3 linked regions of the Arabidopsis thaliana genome follow. The protein of the gene in region 2 interacts with the protein of the main gene of each other region in a pairwise test. Each region holds a gene or a part of one and is shown on either strand. Other genes may lie near its edges.

What was found. The genes of interacting proteins can lie anywhere in the genome.
Region 1: the proteins of ENA (region 2) and TKI1 interact in a two-hybrid assay, tested with the Arabidopsis thaliana proteins (one large-scale study listed by BioGRID).
Region 3: the proteins of ENA (region 2) and AT1G06510 interact in a two-hybrid assay, tested with the Arabidopsis thaliana proteins (one large-scale study listed by BioGRID).

Annotation. Positions count from the first base shown.
Region 1 is NC_003071.7:15,521,006-15,528,342, reverse strand, and holds TKI1 (TSL-kinase interacting protein 1), read right to left. Parts: upstream 5,424-7,337; 5' UTR 5,245-5,423; intron 4,875-5,244; exon of another isoform or gene 4,814-4,874; 5' UTR 4,792-4,813; coding exon 4,650-4,791; intron 4,563-4,649; coding exon 4,480-4,562; intron 4,403-4,479; coding exon 4,355-4,402; intron 4,256-4,354; coding exon 4,146-4,255; intron 3,701-4,145; coding exon 3,616-3,700; intron 3,517-3,615; coding exon 3,237-3,516; intron 3,032-3,236; coding exon 2,921-3,031; intron 2,821-2,920; coding exon 2,666-2,820; intron 2,574-2,665; coding exon 2,335-2,573; intron 2,239-2,334; coding exon 1,563-2,238; intron 1,485-1,562; coding exon 1,356-1,484; intron 1,275-1,355; coding exon 1,098-1,274; 3' UTR 847-1,097; intron 712-846; 3' UTR 585-711; downstream 1-584.
Region 2 is NC_003074.8:6,037,341-6,041,341, reverse strand, and holds ENA (DnaJ/Hsp40 cysteine-rich domain superfamily protein), read right to left. Parts: upstream 1,935-4,001; 5' UTR 1,703-1,934; coding exon 1,568-1,702; intron 1,491-1,567; coding exon 1,394-1,490; intron 1,275-1,393; coding exon 1,220-1,274; coding exon of another isoform or gene 1,210-1,219; exon of another isoform or gene 1,139-1,209; coding exon 1,018-1,138; 3' UTR 709-1,017; downstream 1-708. Other genes in the region: AT3G17670 (tetratricopeptide repeat (TPR)-containing protein), read right to left, coding at 1-2, 81-485; AGD15 (ARF-GAP domain 15), read right to left, coding at 2,290-2,481, 2,631-2,832, 2,928-3,018, 3,107-3,161, 3,244-3,334, 3,425-3,483, 3,575-3,625.
Region 3 is NC_003070.9:1,990,136-1,994,425, reverse strand, and holds AT1G06510 (forkhead-associated domain protein), read right to left. Parts: upstream 2,198-4,290; 5' UTR 2,038-2,197; coding exon 1,881-2,037; intron 1,720-1,880; coding exon 1,520-1,719; intron 1,403-1,519; coding exon 966-1,402; intron 883-965; coding exon 843-882; 3' UTR 585-842; downstream 1-584. Other genes in the region: GPAT1 (glycerol-3-phosphate acyltransferase 1), read left to right, coding at 1-256; AT1G06515 (transmembrane protein, putative (DUF3317)), read left to right, coding at 2,458-2,542, 2,911-2,983, 3,463-3,475; AT1G06500 (uncharacterized protein), read right to left, coding at 3,840-4,250.

The DNA of each region.
Region 1 (7,337 bases), on a different chromosome or scaffold from region 2:
TATATCCTGTGACAACAGAAGCCGTCAAATTTGATTTCAAAAAAAGAAGATGATGCTGAATATTCAAGGGGAGGGCACGTAGAGATTGTCTCTTCGTTTACGAACTTGACGTGAAGTGAAAGAGTAGGCCAGTGTAAAGCGGTGTATCACACATTAAAGCACATTTGGCCTTTTATGACAACTTGGCTTATGTCATTGTTGTATCTTGTATGGTTCTCATTATTCAGAGCATATTCCTCATAACAAGAAAATGTTAAAATTACACAAATTCATTGTTTTCCTCTAACTAGGGGTAAAACTGCATCTCACGCACTTAGCAAAAGACAAAGAAAAAACCCTGCATCTCAGGGTGTAAACTTACTCGTACTACACACTAAAAAAAGTGGTTTTCCTCCTGAAAATCAATATGGTTTGGTTTAGTGAACCAGATTTAGTTTTGAATGAAATCTAGTGCACCTAGGGTGTGTATTACTGGTTCATTGAGAGTGAGAAAACTGAATGTTGGAGGATGTTTTAATGTAGAGAATAGAAGAGAAAACCAATTTGAACACATATGATCAAGACAACAAACAAACTTAGTTTTAAATGATTTATTTACTTTATTAAAGAGTCTATTGTTCATAAATCTTCGATTATAGTGGTGATCAAGTGTAGAAAAGTAGAAGTTTGGAATCTTTTTCGGGTAGAATATTGAAATGAAAAAAAAAAGGACTTATCAACACTACTCTTGAATGAGCGAGTTAAATTTTGCGTCCTACGATTGTTCTTTTACTCGCACTCTTAAAAGAACTTAAGAATATTAATTGAAATTCTTATTTGTCATGAAACTTCTATAAACAAAAGAACAAAAAAAAAGAAAAAAAAAAGAAAGAAGGCATGGTAGCCAAATAAACATGTAAATTAACAGTAAAAGTGTACACAGAGAAACATGTATCAACACAAAAGAATGTGTGAAAGGAAGAGTAAAAGGTTACATCAAATTTTTGTACAGTGAAGCTATCAGTTGGTGATAAAAGTTTCTTTTTTCAAAAGGCAAGAAGTCACTTTCTTTTTCAACTATCAACATTTGGACCCCATGCTTTAGCTTTGGTTCCATTTCATACCATGTTAGACTTGTCCTTCTTATTGTCGAACCCAAAGAGCGAGCAGTTCTGAAACGCATCAAGGCTGGTTGCTATCAGACGGCTCAATCCCCCGAGGCTCTCACTAAGGATCAAATCATCTGTATACTTTGACGATCTAATGTCTAAATCCAGTGGTCCTAACGAGTCGGGCTGCAAAGAGGAAACATGTGTTGTTGTTGAATATATATGACTTTTTTACATTGGGGAAATATATGAGATTTCTAAATTTACCCAGTATACATCCGCAAGTCCACAAGGGGTCTTCCCTGGAGAATCCATCGTATGAGGGTCTGCTGGACCCTCTTCCATTGGATCTCCATCGTCATGAGGGTTATAAGATCCCTCATCGCCGGATGAAGCCTAAGAGAAAGTATTGAATCAGATGGTTTAGTTTTGTAAACAATTGAGGGAAGTGGAATTTGAGGCTGATATAGTTACCTCCACCAACTGTGAAGGCTCTCCATTTACTCTGCCAACACCTTTAGGAGAAGCAACACTAGCCAGCTCGGTGGAATTTGCGAAACGATTTTTTTGGAAAGAGAAGGCATCACGTGTTTCTTCATCATCCCACAGAGAGGAAGAGCCAGAAGTCAGCGGTAGTTGAGCACTTGGCTTGTTCTGGTGTCTTAGTATATGAGCAGCAATTGCAGCATCAAAAGAGTCAGAGGTAAATGGGACATCTCGAAGGAGGTAATGTGAACCTTCGGTGGCAGGTGGATCAACACCATCACTATCTATGTCATCGGGCACTTCAGAAAGTAGATCACCTATACTTATGTTAGTAAGACTATCAGCCCATTCTCCTGGTGATTGTGCATTACCGCCGCTCAAATGCTCAAGTGGAGTAATACTCGTTGAAGCAGGTTCATAATCATCTCTAGATCTTGCGGGACGATCATGGACACCAGATGCACATACTAGACCCTGACTGGGCTCTACAGATGTCGTTTGTTCAGCAGTTGAATGCACAGACAAGGGTCCTGATTCAGTAAGGAGCATGTTGACCTCGTTCAACCTATCCACATTCATGTCATCCTCGAGTGAAGGGCAAGGATCTGAAGTTGGAACTTGAGAAATAATAGAACCTGACGCATCATGGACAAACCAACCATACCTGCAAATACATATAAGTAAATTAATTTTGGTTTATCTTGTATGACAATTTGACGAGAAGAAACCTGCAAGAGACTAGGAAAATATGAGAGCAAACCTTAAGCGGAAAACCGAAGGACTTCCGACCATTGAATGCACTTCTGCTGCGCTTAGAAAAGAGTCATGGGTCCACCTCTGATGGCACGTTACAGTTTCTTTTCGTGCGTTGTAAGGAAATAGCAATAGCTCTCCAGTCGCACAACTTGAGCTTCCCCATTTGCGATTGAGATGTTCAAGTACAGATGATATCTTCTTGCGATTACTAAGAGTAAGTTCAAGATGCGGATTGTGCTTATCCTGTTAAAGTGTTAAGTGTTAACAGATCAAGCTCCATTTCATGTCTCAGAAAATTATTGCTCCAATCAGTATAATTCCTATTTGAAGCTTACCATTTCCAAGGATCTTCGAGTACATTCATCAATCGGGAACAGCTGAAGTTTAAGCTTGGCAGAAAACTGCATATTGGCATCACTGAGAGGAACATCACCAGCTGAGCATAGAGAAAGTGGAGACTTTCCGGTTAAATATCTTGTGGGACCTAAATCTAAGATAAAAAGAGAATCTGATTTAGAATTTGCACATGTTAGTCCTCAAAAAACATATATCTAAGAAAAGGAACTATCATCCAATACTAGTAAGTAAACCTGTTTGATCATCCATATCTTTGTCAATTGATGTTCGTTCCAAATGCTCTGCAGCATCAGCAACCAGAGAGACCCCATCTATTGCAGCTTTTTCCCATTTTCTATAACCTGCTGAAAAAGGAAGAGATGCTTAGAGTCACGTAAGAACCTGGAACTACATCAAGCTTTTAAATAGCAACATAAAATCTAATATCAACATGGAAGATTAAAAGCAGATAATGTCCAAATTTGTGTGAACACTGAAAACACACACAATATGGGGCTGAAGAAAACTGCCTATCTAACAAACATGCATAAAAACTAGTAAAGAAAGAACCTTGTTTTCGCCGTTGCCTTCCACCTCTCCCAAAGGCTGTGTCTTCTTTTTCGTCACCAAGGTTGACACTTAAGCTTTCACCATGTTTGGTAGATGCTCTTCCAGGCCCTAGCTTTTTAACATTTTGGCCGTCGGAGAGAATAAGTTTAAATGGACGGTTATCCAATCCTCTTTCTCTACTATGACTTGAGATGTTTCCGAGGGAAGCAGAAGAGAGATTTTCTCCCTGGCAAGTCCGTTTTCTTATGCTCTTTCTGCGGTCTTTCAGCAATTGGTGTTCCTTCATGCAAAAGGTTTTGTTAGACAATAGTTTGTAAACGATTCCTTGTCAAATCCAAGGTGGTTTTGGGTTAAACGAAATTCGCATTTGCCAACTAACCAAGGCCTCTATAAATAGTTTGAATCTCCGGGGCTTGAGATGAAGTTTTGAAGCTTTGCAGCTATACTTTTCAAGCAAAGACCACCTGCAAGACACATGAAAAAGCATGTTTACTTTAGTCAGACGAGCTGAGTGATAATTAAGATCATGATATGTGAAATCATGTCATCTAGGAGAATGGAAGAAGCTATGATGTCTGAAATATAAGTCAGTTGCTACTATCTGATCATGTATGAGGTTCCTGGCAGATATTATCAAAGCACATGAAAAAAACAAAAAACCTTACCTTAACATTATATTGTCACTAGCAGGAAATGCATAGCTATACTACAGAAATTACTTTACGCAAATGGAACCCTTAAATGAATGTGACCATGCCTACTTAATAATACTCATAGTATCATAACATGCTATAACTTGTTATCTAGAAAAATACCCGGAGAGTGATATTCATCATTTGTTTACGATAACGTAACAATCTACCATACCAGCACAAAGCATAACAGAAAAGAAATGTATAAATCAAGTACCATCGTAGCATTGCAGCATTGGTGTCCTTTGGGTTCTTGGCATCAAGGCTCAGATCCGGGCCCAAAAGTTTGTTCATACGCCTCACTAAACGATAATAGTAATGCCTGACCTGCAAATCACAAGAAGTTTCCACAACCATCAGAAACTAAAAGCAAACACCAGCAAGTGCAAGCGAAAAGAAAACAAACACAAAACTAAAACAACCAACCTGGTCCTTGTTTTTGCTCTGAACACGAGAAGTTATCTTCTCAAAATTCTACAAAACAACACAAAGAGAAGGTTCACACACATAACAGGTTAACAACATAGAGAAGAAGAACGTCAAGGTGATACCTTTCCAACTTGACGAAGAGCAGTGAAGAAACTTTCCTCTTCTTGATGTGTCCAAGCAGCCCATTGCCTAGTCGGCTTCTTAGCTGCAACATCGCCATTTCCATTAAAAAAAATCAACTAAGCTAACAAAACAAGCATACAAGCACAACTTTTAAATCAATGCAACATACCAGGAAACTGAGTAATACTGATAGAAGCAGAAGAGAGTAAATTAGGGTTGCTGTTCTGGTTTGATAAACGGCCCTCACCGTTAGGACCTTCGGGTATCAGCTCGGCTTGCATTTCGCAATAATGCGTAAACTGTTTAAGCATTCATGCTTTTGATTTCAACTTCCTACAAATCAGAGCAATGAATCCTAAACCATGAACATTCAAAATCCCAAAAAAAAGGCGAAACTCTACATAGCGATCATCAACTAAAATCACAAGAAATTTAGCAACCGACAGAAAAATTTTACAGGCAATTCATAATTTTTACATCCACGACACAAATTTGAAAAACCCTAATTTCGAAGATATAACGAAGAACAAACAAATTTCACCTTCAATAAAACCCTAAAATTAATTTCACCAGATCACAACAAAAACAAAAACCCAATTCTACTTAATTCAATACCCTAATTAAGCTAAATCTCATAAGGGAAGACGAAAAATTGAAAAATTAAGAACTAGGGTTACTAAATACAAACTCGAAATTTGAATTGAAATTTTTAAAAAAATAAGTTTGACCCCGAAAAAAAACACGAAAAATATGAGAAATATTACCTGAAAAGGTTTGAAATGTGGAATTGGAAGTGGGATTGACGAACACTAGTCGAGAATTTAGGGTAAATCGAACGAAATTGAAGCCGAAGATATTTTTCCGATGAACAACCACGGTTGAACCAAGCGAGAGAGAAAAATAAATTTTATTTTTTTTCTTGTTTTTTACATTCACATAAAATTAAAAAGAAAATAAAATAAAAAGGAATGTAATTAATTTAGTTACTTGTTATCTAAGATGTCAAAATATATGTTTGTCATGGTGGGTTAACATATATTATATTCTTGTAATTAAATGAGTTTTTTTACTTTTCGAAAGAATCAATCAAAAATATTTTAATTATTTTATGAACAAAGGAGAGAAATATATACGAAATTATTATTTATTTTATCTTTTATTAAACACATAAAGTTGAATAAGCCAGTTGCCTTCGTCACGCTAAGTATTATTTTATCTAAAGTGAAACTATAGATTAGGAAAATTCGGAAATTTTACTATTTTCTTCTACAATTTCATGAAAATAGAAAAATATTTCTACTATTTTGCCTCGTTAAAAAGGGGAAAAAAAGACAACAAAAAATTAGTTGAATCGTAATGCACGTGGCTTGGGTTGGCATCTGGCAAGTCGCATGATAAAGATAAAGCGTTTAGAAGTTAAAACGCCAAAATAATATTTGAAATTGTGGTTTGTGTTGGATATAGTCCTCAGGCCCTGGTACAAAAATTAGGTCTGGTCCAATAAATACATACATGGGCTTTTATTTAGCCCAATAGTAACTAATTCACAAGATCCAAATTTTTGTAAATCTTTTCTTCTGTCAACGATCCAATCTTTAATCTTTGTATATGTTAGATGAGCTAACACTTTTTTTCAGAAAATAAGCCTTATACACGCTTTCAAGGTAGAGGGGTTCAAATTTACATCTTTGAAACACGTATGGTATCGATAGCTCTAATAGTCGATATTTTTTGGGATCTTATTTTTGAGATAAAATATGACCAAGTTTTGGGTTCGTATCCTACGAGCAGCCAAGAATGGAGTTATTTATCTAGCTATAGTCTCTGGCCTAAGAAAAATATATGTCAACGTCACAAAGAACGGAGCCGGTTTATCTAACATGATTTTTGATCTCACGGTTCAACTTCTATAGGGTAACCAATAAGTATAACCTATGCACGTAGAGCATTAATGAATAAATTGACTTGTAGTCCTTTTCGGTTAAAAGTTGACTTATCGTTTCGTTAAAAAGAATGGAGAAAGTCAGAAGTCGGAGTTACGATACGACGAATTAACATGACTCTGGCCTTTTTTCATCATGTCATGCTCAAATTGTTTGACAAATTCAATTTGTTACGCGAAGCGTAGAGATTTGACCCAAAACTATTCGCATGTGGATTGGAGATATGTATATCCTTTTCTTATTAAGTTTGTAGAAGATGTTTTCCCACTTACGGGTGTTTTTTCTATTATATTAGAAAACTTTTCTATTTTGATAAGGATTAGAAAACTTTTCTTGACCCAATTGTTATTTCTACGGCGACAGTTTAAGATTTCAAGTTTAACTACTCTTTTAGTCTTGTAAATAAAGCATAATTTAAGTTCTACTAAACATGTAAGTTGTATTAGTTAGACCATTTTAGTATTTTACCTCTCAATATATCACTAAACTCAATTTGTTTGAGTTTTCCTAGTAGGTCTAGATCAAAATAGAGTCTGAATTCAAATATTAGTATGCTGCATTTTAAAAAAACTTATATGGACTAAAAAGGCCATCAAAAACTTAGATATGAAAACATGCGTCTATAAGTCGATTAGTCCAATCAGAACATAATTTCGGTATAGCTCCGAGTTTGATTTCTCTGGTTGAACAATCGAGCTACATGCATGCTCGTGTTTTAGGTTTTCGCATAAAATCTTTGACATGGTGGTTTTGTGTAACCAAGCACTTGATCATCTTCATATTAGCTCGTATCTGACCCGGACACCAACGCTTTGTATATTTGCAAGAATATGCAAGTAGTTGAAAATGGAATGGCTGAAGCCAGGTCAAACATCTTCTAAATGTGGACCAACCTAATCATTTCTATAGTCAAG
Region 2 (4,001 bases):
GCCTGCAATCATAGACACATCCATGGTCAAGCTCCATAAAAATGGAGAAGAAATTGAGACAAATTCGTAAGTCTACAGACCTGAGTGAGAAGTGCTTCGGCTTCAGAGAAATTTCCCGCATCGATTTGAGAGAGAGCATTGTTGGTTAACGCTAAAGCCGTGAGAGCGTCTGTGACGGCGGAGGATGAAGAAGCTTCACGACCGTCACCACATAGGCTGAACAAAATTTCAGCAGCTCGAGAAGGCGTGGCGCAGTGACGTAGGATGAGACCTTGAGGGAGAGCCACGAGGTTTGGACCGGAGCCGCATCGGCCGAGGCAAGCGCAGTGAGTGACTCGGAGTTCGGGAGGTGCGAGAGCTGTTAAAGTCTCGAGAATCTGGAAGGAGCCTTGTCTTCGGCAGGTGCGATTCGTACAAACGCGAATCTCCTTCACTTGTTCACCTGAGCTCCGGCAGCTCATCGCCGGCAAAGCGACGGAAGACATAACGATAAGAATATCGAACCACAAGAAGAAGAAAGATGCGCGCCTGACTAAATAAACCGAGATAATCAAATTAAAATGTATTAAATCCGGTTTGACTAAACCGGATATCACAATTGTACACTCTAATCAGCTCCCATTTTGCTTCGTTTCACACTCAAAGCCGAAGATAAAACATCACTAGACTAATTCTTAATCAAATTAGACAGCTCATAACTAAAATTTTGACTCAGAACCTTCCCATTATACTAAAGAATCCAAATATACCATTAGTAAGTACAAAGCCAAGATACAACAATTTTGCAATGTAAGCTTAAGAATATAAAACTAACGGTGGCTACGTTTCATTTATCTTCCTAAAGAACTTGTAGACTGGTGATTTCTCTTTACTTGCAACAACATCCTTGAAGATTACAAACAATATTAACAAGTCAGGAGCAACCATATACAACATTACTAAACAAGTCTTAAGCCTCCTCATTGGACATATACAAAAACTGGCAAGGACATGATCGTTAAGAGTTTCTCCAAATCATTATTGTGGATCGGCATCATCGTTTTGGTTTAAGAAGCGGAAACCCATGATGTATCTGTACTCTCCGGTGCCAAGACAGCGAGAACAGTCACTTAATCCACTCCCTCCACAACTCTTGCACCTGTGACCAAAACAACCAAAAAAAATTTTGAACTCCTTTAGTTCTTGAATCAAATAACAGATATAAAAGCCTCAAGAATACCATTTAGGCCATTCTCCTCTTGGAAGCATTTCCACATCCACACAATTAGTCCTCCCTTCAATCATATATCACAAAAAAGCAAGAATTCAATTCTCTGAAGTAGTTAATACGAAGAAATCAATCATAAGAGACATTTAAAGTTGAGAACCAGAGAGAGAAGTTATTTATCTTTACCTTTCCCACAACAATTGAAACAATCGACTCTTCCACTTCCATGGCAGATTACGCATCGTCCTTTCGCCTTCGACTTCATACACGTCTTAGCTCCAGACTGTTAACCATTGAATTCATTCTTATTAATGATATCAAGAGTCTAGAGATAGAAATTGGGGGTTTTTGGTTTCAGACCTGAGTTCTGACTATCCATGAAGGTTTGGTGAGATAGAGCCTAGTTTTTCCCTGCGTAGATTTTGAATTCGGAACGCCTTCCCCTGGCCGGACAGCCATCATCTCCGGCGGAGATAGACACGCGTTCACCGCCATCTCCGTCACTCTTCAGTCGTAACTCGTAACACACCACAACTGTTCTGTTCCTCTTCCTCATTCCAGTTTGTGTTCTCTCTCGGGCCTAAGGCCCATCTCTCAATAAACCCGTAAGAAAATTAACCAAACCGGACCGAGTTAGTGTGTTTAGGTCTGATTTAATTTTATTCGTTTCCTATGTAAAGTGTAAACCAAATAAAACACAAACTCAAAAGTGATTATTGAAATCATTACGGTTGTTATGGAGTATGGTGGACCAATCAATTGATGTTACTTGTCCAGCAATTAAAAATAATCACATTGGTGACTTGTATTTGCTTTCTCTTTTGTCAAATACTCAAAGATGTCTCTCTTCCATTGAATTAAAAATGATTTTGTTACAAGCAACCAAAATTGGATTATGAATGAATAAAGAATTAGAAAACAGAACCAACTTTGAGTTCATCATCCCATCTTTGCCAACCTTTTGACTAAAATTAAAGCCCACATGATGATTCTTGTTTTTCCAAAACCTCCATCTTCTTCGTCTTCATAGAGTCTTTTCTCTTCCTGTTTCACATTAGAGATTTAGAATCAAAACCTCAAAACTAACAGAAGATAAAAAAAAGAAAAGCCTGAATCATGGCCTTACAGTCGAAAGTAGCCCAGCTCGACGGTGGTGCTATGGTGGTTCTTCTATTCTGGTTTACTTCACTGGAGAAATTCTCATTCTTTTGATTTGGTTTCTTGAATTCTGGTAGAGGTACAACATATACATTCTCCTTCATATCTACCGAACCCTGCATTGCACAACAGTTTATGGAAATGATTCAAAATCCTTCTACAAAAGCTTTGTTAATTCTTGCCACAGGACAAACAAGGAAACTGAATGAATTTCCAATCTAGTGATCATACCAGAACCCAAAAAGATATAGATTTGTTGTCATACCGCACGAGTTCTCGTTTCTGGAGGTGTTACTTGAAGAACATGATGAAGAAGGATCTCTTCGTCAAGTGAAAGAGTTCTAGCTTTCTTTGGAGTTTCAGGTTTATATCCACTCTCTACCAAGTGACTAACTTTGCAGCTTAGCTGGCTAACTATAGGAGCCGGTTGAATCGCTCCCGGTGAAACCCATCTCTTCTCACTGTATCTAAAACACACACGAACAGAAGAAAAAAAGATTCAAGCTAAAGTTGTGTTGTAGCAGATGAGGAAGCAAAAGCGAACATAGAAAAGAATCAATACTTGGCTCTTATAAACGTGTCGCTTGAACTTCTCTCGAAATGTTGAGGCAATTCTGATTCCCAATACTCATTTCCCTTAGCATTACCGGTAGCTAGACCGAGAATAAGATGATCAAGCTATGGGATTGATACAAAATTCAACTACTGAATGTGTTCATTATATACAAAAGAGGAGCTTACATTTCATGAAAGCAACCTGATCTGGAAGCCATGTATCCAGAGTTATAGACCTTACCTGTGTCCAAAATTCATCAGTATCCCTAATTTGTATGATCCATTTACAACACAATCAATTAAAAGAGAGATTATTTAGGGACCTGAGAGATGTGGACGCCAAGGCTACGATGGATTCCAGAACATTGCATACAAATGAATATCCCAAGGTTCACACTTGCCCATCTTGGTGCCCTGTAAAATAGATAGATCCAAACAACACAATGCTCCTAAATCGTTTTTCTTACATGATCATGAAAGAGATAATGTTATCAAGATGCTTACTTTGATCTACAATCTGCACATTCTCGATTGTCTGGATGCTTCAAAAGTGCTTCCAATATCTATAACCCACACAAAATCTCTAACCTTTCAACTTTCCAGACGCAAAACCAATGGTGAAAAATCGAAAAGGAGGAGAAAAAAAGATGGGACCTTTGAATGCTTGGCGTTGAGCTCCTTGGAAACAGAGGCCTTCCTGTTCATTCTGATGAAGATGAATCAGAGAATGAGAGAGAAACAGAGGCAATTGAAAAATCAAACCAAGTTTGTAAACAGAGAGCCAAAATGGTTTCAAGGAAGAACGGATTTGAAGGAGAGGAGAGAAAAGAAATGACGGTTTCTCGTACCCTTTTATATCTGTCACTGCGACACATCATCTCTCTATTTTTAATCCAACATGGAGTCAAAGCAAAGCAATAAATTCAAATCCCTAGCTCTCGAAAACCCGACTTGATCACTATGCTCATACGAAGATTCCTTCGATAACCCAATTGAAAGAATCGTTTTTTCATCCCTTCTCGGTGCTAATCGCTCCTATCACCGGCGTCACAATCGGCGAATCACCAAAAACCCCTCCTTT
Region 3 (4,290 bases), on a different chromosome or scaffold from region 2:
GTTCTATGGGACAACTGCGAGCGGGCTCAAGTGTTTAGACCCTATCTTCTTCCTCATGAACCCTAGGCCGGTTTATTGTCTTGAGATTTTAAAGAAGTTGCCAAAAGAGATGACTTGTGCAGGAGGCAAGTCAAGCTTTGAAGTTGCGAATTTCATACAGGGAGAACTTGCTAGGGTTTTGGGATTTGAATGCACTAATCTCACAAGGAGGGATAAGTACTTGGTTCTTGCTGGAAATGAAGGCATTGTCAGATAAACTATTCCGAATTTTCATTAGTTTTTTTGTTTGTTTGAAAAGCTAAATATTATTGTTATTTCAGGACTTAGATGTTTAATTCTATATGGTTGATTCATTGGCATCATTTCTATTTCTTATCACTCGGGACCATTGATATGTATTGAAAATGTTTGCTTTATATGATTTTGTTTCTGGATTTGTATAGTCCATAATCTCAACCTGTCGCTTTAGTGCCATTAATTTTATTCCTAGAACAAATGAAATGATTTCAGAGTTAGTTGAAATCAATATTAATTGTATACATCTAATCTAATAGTATGTTATTCACTTATTATTTACTTAATGATGCTCCTAAGTATTGATATCACATTAATAATCATGATCCCATATCACAACAACATTAACGTGAACGACCATATTAACTTCATATCACATCAAAATTTAATGTATCACCTTAGAAGATATTAATATTCACACCAAGAAAATGACTATACCTGTCTAAACAGAATGATTAAAGAAAGGAAAATTGCTAGATTAACTTTTCATACCAAGAGTGGCTTCCTTTCTTTAGTTCACTGCGCTGGTAAGTAATGCTTGAAGCACACTAACTGATGTTTGCCTCTTTGCAAATGATATTTGCGATTCTACACAAGCAAAACAAAACTTAATGGACTGAGTAATTCTGCAGTGTTAGAAGTAAAACTTAGTGATGCTTTGAATGCATTACCTTTCCCTCACACGACGAATCTCTTCAAGAATTTCTGCAGTCTGCTGAACCTTAAGATTCTTGGGTTTATCTTCATGATTAAGCACCAAGGATGCAACATTTACAACAGTAACTAGTTCAGCTTCGATTCTGCTAAGTTTCTGGTCTAAATTTTCCAAGAAAGATTCATAAGAAGACACTTCTTTCAGGATGCTACCTATTGAAACATCTTCTAGTACATTATTATTGGTATCAAGAAGTTCTTGGTAATCCTCAACATTCCTTTCAATAAGTTGAATTCCCTCAGAATCCAAGTGAGTGTGGTCATTTTCGACCCCGTCTTCAGTAGATTCGGGCTTTGGCGATACAATGTGGATACCACCTGAAGTATTCTCTCCATCCTCTTCGAGATCCAAAGATATATTGCCTATCAGCTGTGTTTCCTTGACAGATATTGCCTGAAACCAAACCAAGCTTTCAAGACATAGTTAGATAGATTTCTGGGGCAATTGAAAACAAACAAACAACCAAAACAATAACATTTCTTAACAAGTAAGAGTATTGTTTGTTTGTACCTCGTTAAGTTTGGAAGAAAGCGTATCGAGCAACTCGATACGAGCTTTAGCCTTGTCCAAAGCTTGCATAACTTTTTTCTTCTGAAGAAGTAGATCTCTGGCATCATTCTCTTTCCCTGTTCGAACATTGACAGCTGCTTGTTCCCGTAGATTCTCTGCAGCCTCAGATAATCTCAAAAGTCTCAACCTATTACTGTTTGCTGGACCAACAACAACAAAGACCAAAAATAAATCAAATTGACATCATCAATCACTGGATTCACAAGCAGTAAAACCATGCTGAAACCAGCACCTCATCTTTCCAAAGTCTACGACTTTGAAATCACACATTAAAACGAAGATTAGCGAATAAAGATTCCACCTTTGGCACGAGTGGACTCTGCCTCCGCGTGAAGCCGATCAAGCTGGGAGCGAAGAAGGTCAGAATTTGCGGTGGCAGAGAAGCATCTCAGGCTCGTTGGAATCCTCCGAGACTGAGCAATCACCACCGGAACTCCGCCGATGGTCGTCGTCACCATGTTTGGTCTTCTTACAAAGCGCACACGTTCTGTGACATTGCAGTCTCCGTTATCCGGTTAGTTCTACAAACCGATTTTGAATACCTGGTTCATCTAAACCGGTAATTAAGACTAAACCGGGGTGGGAAAATGAATTGAGGATGAGATTAGTATTTACCGTGACAGAGTTTTCCAACTTTGACGTCTCCGTCAAAATTTGATTTCTCTTCTGTATTTGACGACGACACTTCAATCAAAATCTGGAGTCAGATACAGTTCCCTAGATCGAGAATCTCCAGGCGCTTTGTAATCCTGTTTAGTATATCTTTGTCAAGTTCTCTGTCAGAGATTTACCGGGTAAATTTTGAATCTTGGATCAGGTTTTTGTCAATTTCAGATTTGTAATCTCCCGCTTCTTACTGTAGGAATCGATCAGAAGATATGAACTGGGTTCAACGCAAAATCTACCTTTATAATGTCACATTCGGGCTCTACATGCTTGATTGGTGGGAACGATACCTCTTCAGTATCCTTTTTTCCTCACTCTATCCCTCCATGCTTCATTCGTTCTCTCCATCGATTTTGGTTTATCTGTGCTCCAATTTCGATTTACCCTTTCATTAGAAAGATGCAAGTTTTGATTTTTACATCTTTGGTGATATATGGTGGCATTGTGTTCTGTTCTCTTGTGTTGTCGTCTTAAGCATTGTGTCTGTTCAATTTTAGAATTTTGTTTTTAAAAAGCTACTTTCTTAAAATTTTGTCTTCAACTTCAGAGTTTGGATTATAGTCTCTACTGAATAATATACTGTCAATTGAGATAATTTTTTGCTAGTTTACAAGGACTTAAGATCTTTGCTTGCATCTTCTTTGCCTTTCCTCAACTCTTTTCAGATTCTTTGGTGGTTGTTTTGATGTGGTTCGTTTTATACAACGGTACTCGCTACTTTTCGGAGCTTTTCCAGAGGTAAAACACTTGATGATGCTCTTTGCGCACACCTTAAGCTTGTTAAGGTTTCCTTGACACTAATTTTGCTATTGTTGTAACAATTTTTGGTACTTATCTAGTTCTTTTTGCTACTTTGGTCTTATGGTTTCATTAGCGGGTTTCTAAGTGATGAGTGTTATGATACAATATGCTGTTTGGCCTCATCTTCATCTCTGAAACAAGTTTCACGGTTTCCCATGATTCGTAGTATATGTTTTCACAAAAGGATAAGTCCATCATTTACTTAAACATTATCCTACCTTCTCTTGTGCATTTAGTTAGGGTAGATATTAAGCCTCCCCAGAAGGTGATTGGATTGGAGTTAGAGAAGTCTTTAGTTTGCCTGATGGACTTACTGCTGCTGCTTGCTATCTGAATCTTATTATGCTGATTGTTCGAAACTTTTGAGAAGCAATTGAAGCTCTTTCATGATAATTTCTTGTATCCTCGCATTGCAGGCATTTGACATGAAAACATGTCTTGTTTCTCGCACAGTAGAGCACGAAAAGCCTAGATCATCCAAAGGCATGTACGTTTGGTTCCAATTTCTGAGACGTATACCAGCAAAAATCCCTCTTTCGGCGTCACCTCTGTTTTTGTTAATTTTCCTCCAAAGGCTCTAGGACAGTTCTTATGTCTCTATATTATTTGTTCCCATGTTTTTGCAATTAACAGAAATGATTTTGTAGACTCGTAAGATCGCAAGTCTTCCTGTTGTATTTCCAGTTCACTTAGAGACATAATAACATAGTTGCAGGAGTTAATGAACTTGCGGATTACATATAACAGAGCATAATTTTTAAGAGGGAGCTCTGTTCTAAATCTACAAACGAACTTAGGAAGAATCAGGGGTAACCCAATCCTTTGGCATTGCAGAGTTGAAGATCTGAAACAGCAAAGCTTGATCTCTCTTGCCTGGTCTTTTTGAACCAAATCCTTGATGCAGACCAAGTTCAACCGCTTCTCTTCCTTCTTCCGCTATTCTTTTCCTAATAGCTACCAAAGAATTTTGCGTCTCATCACAAGCTGCTACATGTCCATTTTCAGTGTTCTCTCCTCCACCATCTTCTCGTCCGCCTTTCTCTGCCCTTCCCCACCATTTGTTTGACACAGTTGTTAACCCGCCTGATGGGAATCCAAATTTGAACTCATCTACAGCTGCCACTGTCTTTGCCAAGTTAGTATTAGCCCATACATTTGACTTGCCACTCTTGTTTCCCCCATGCTGCACCGTCGAATGCATCATCGTGTGTGTGTCCTCGGGTTCAGATTATGTTACGAACCAC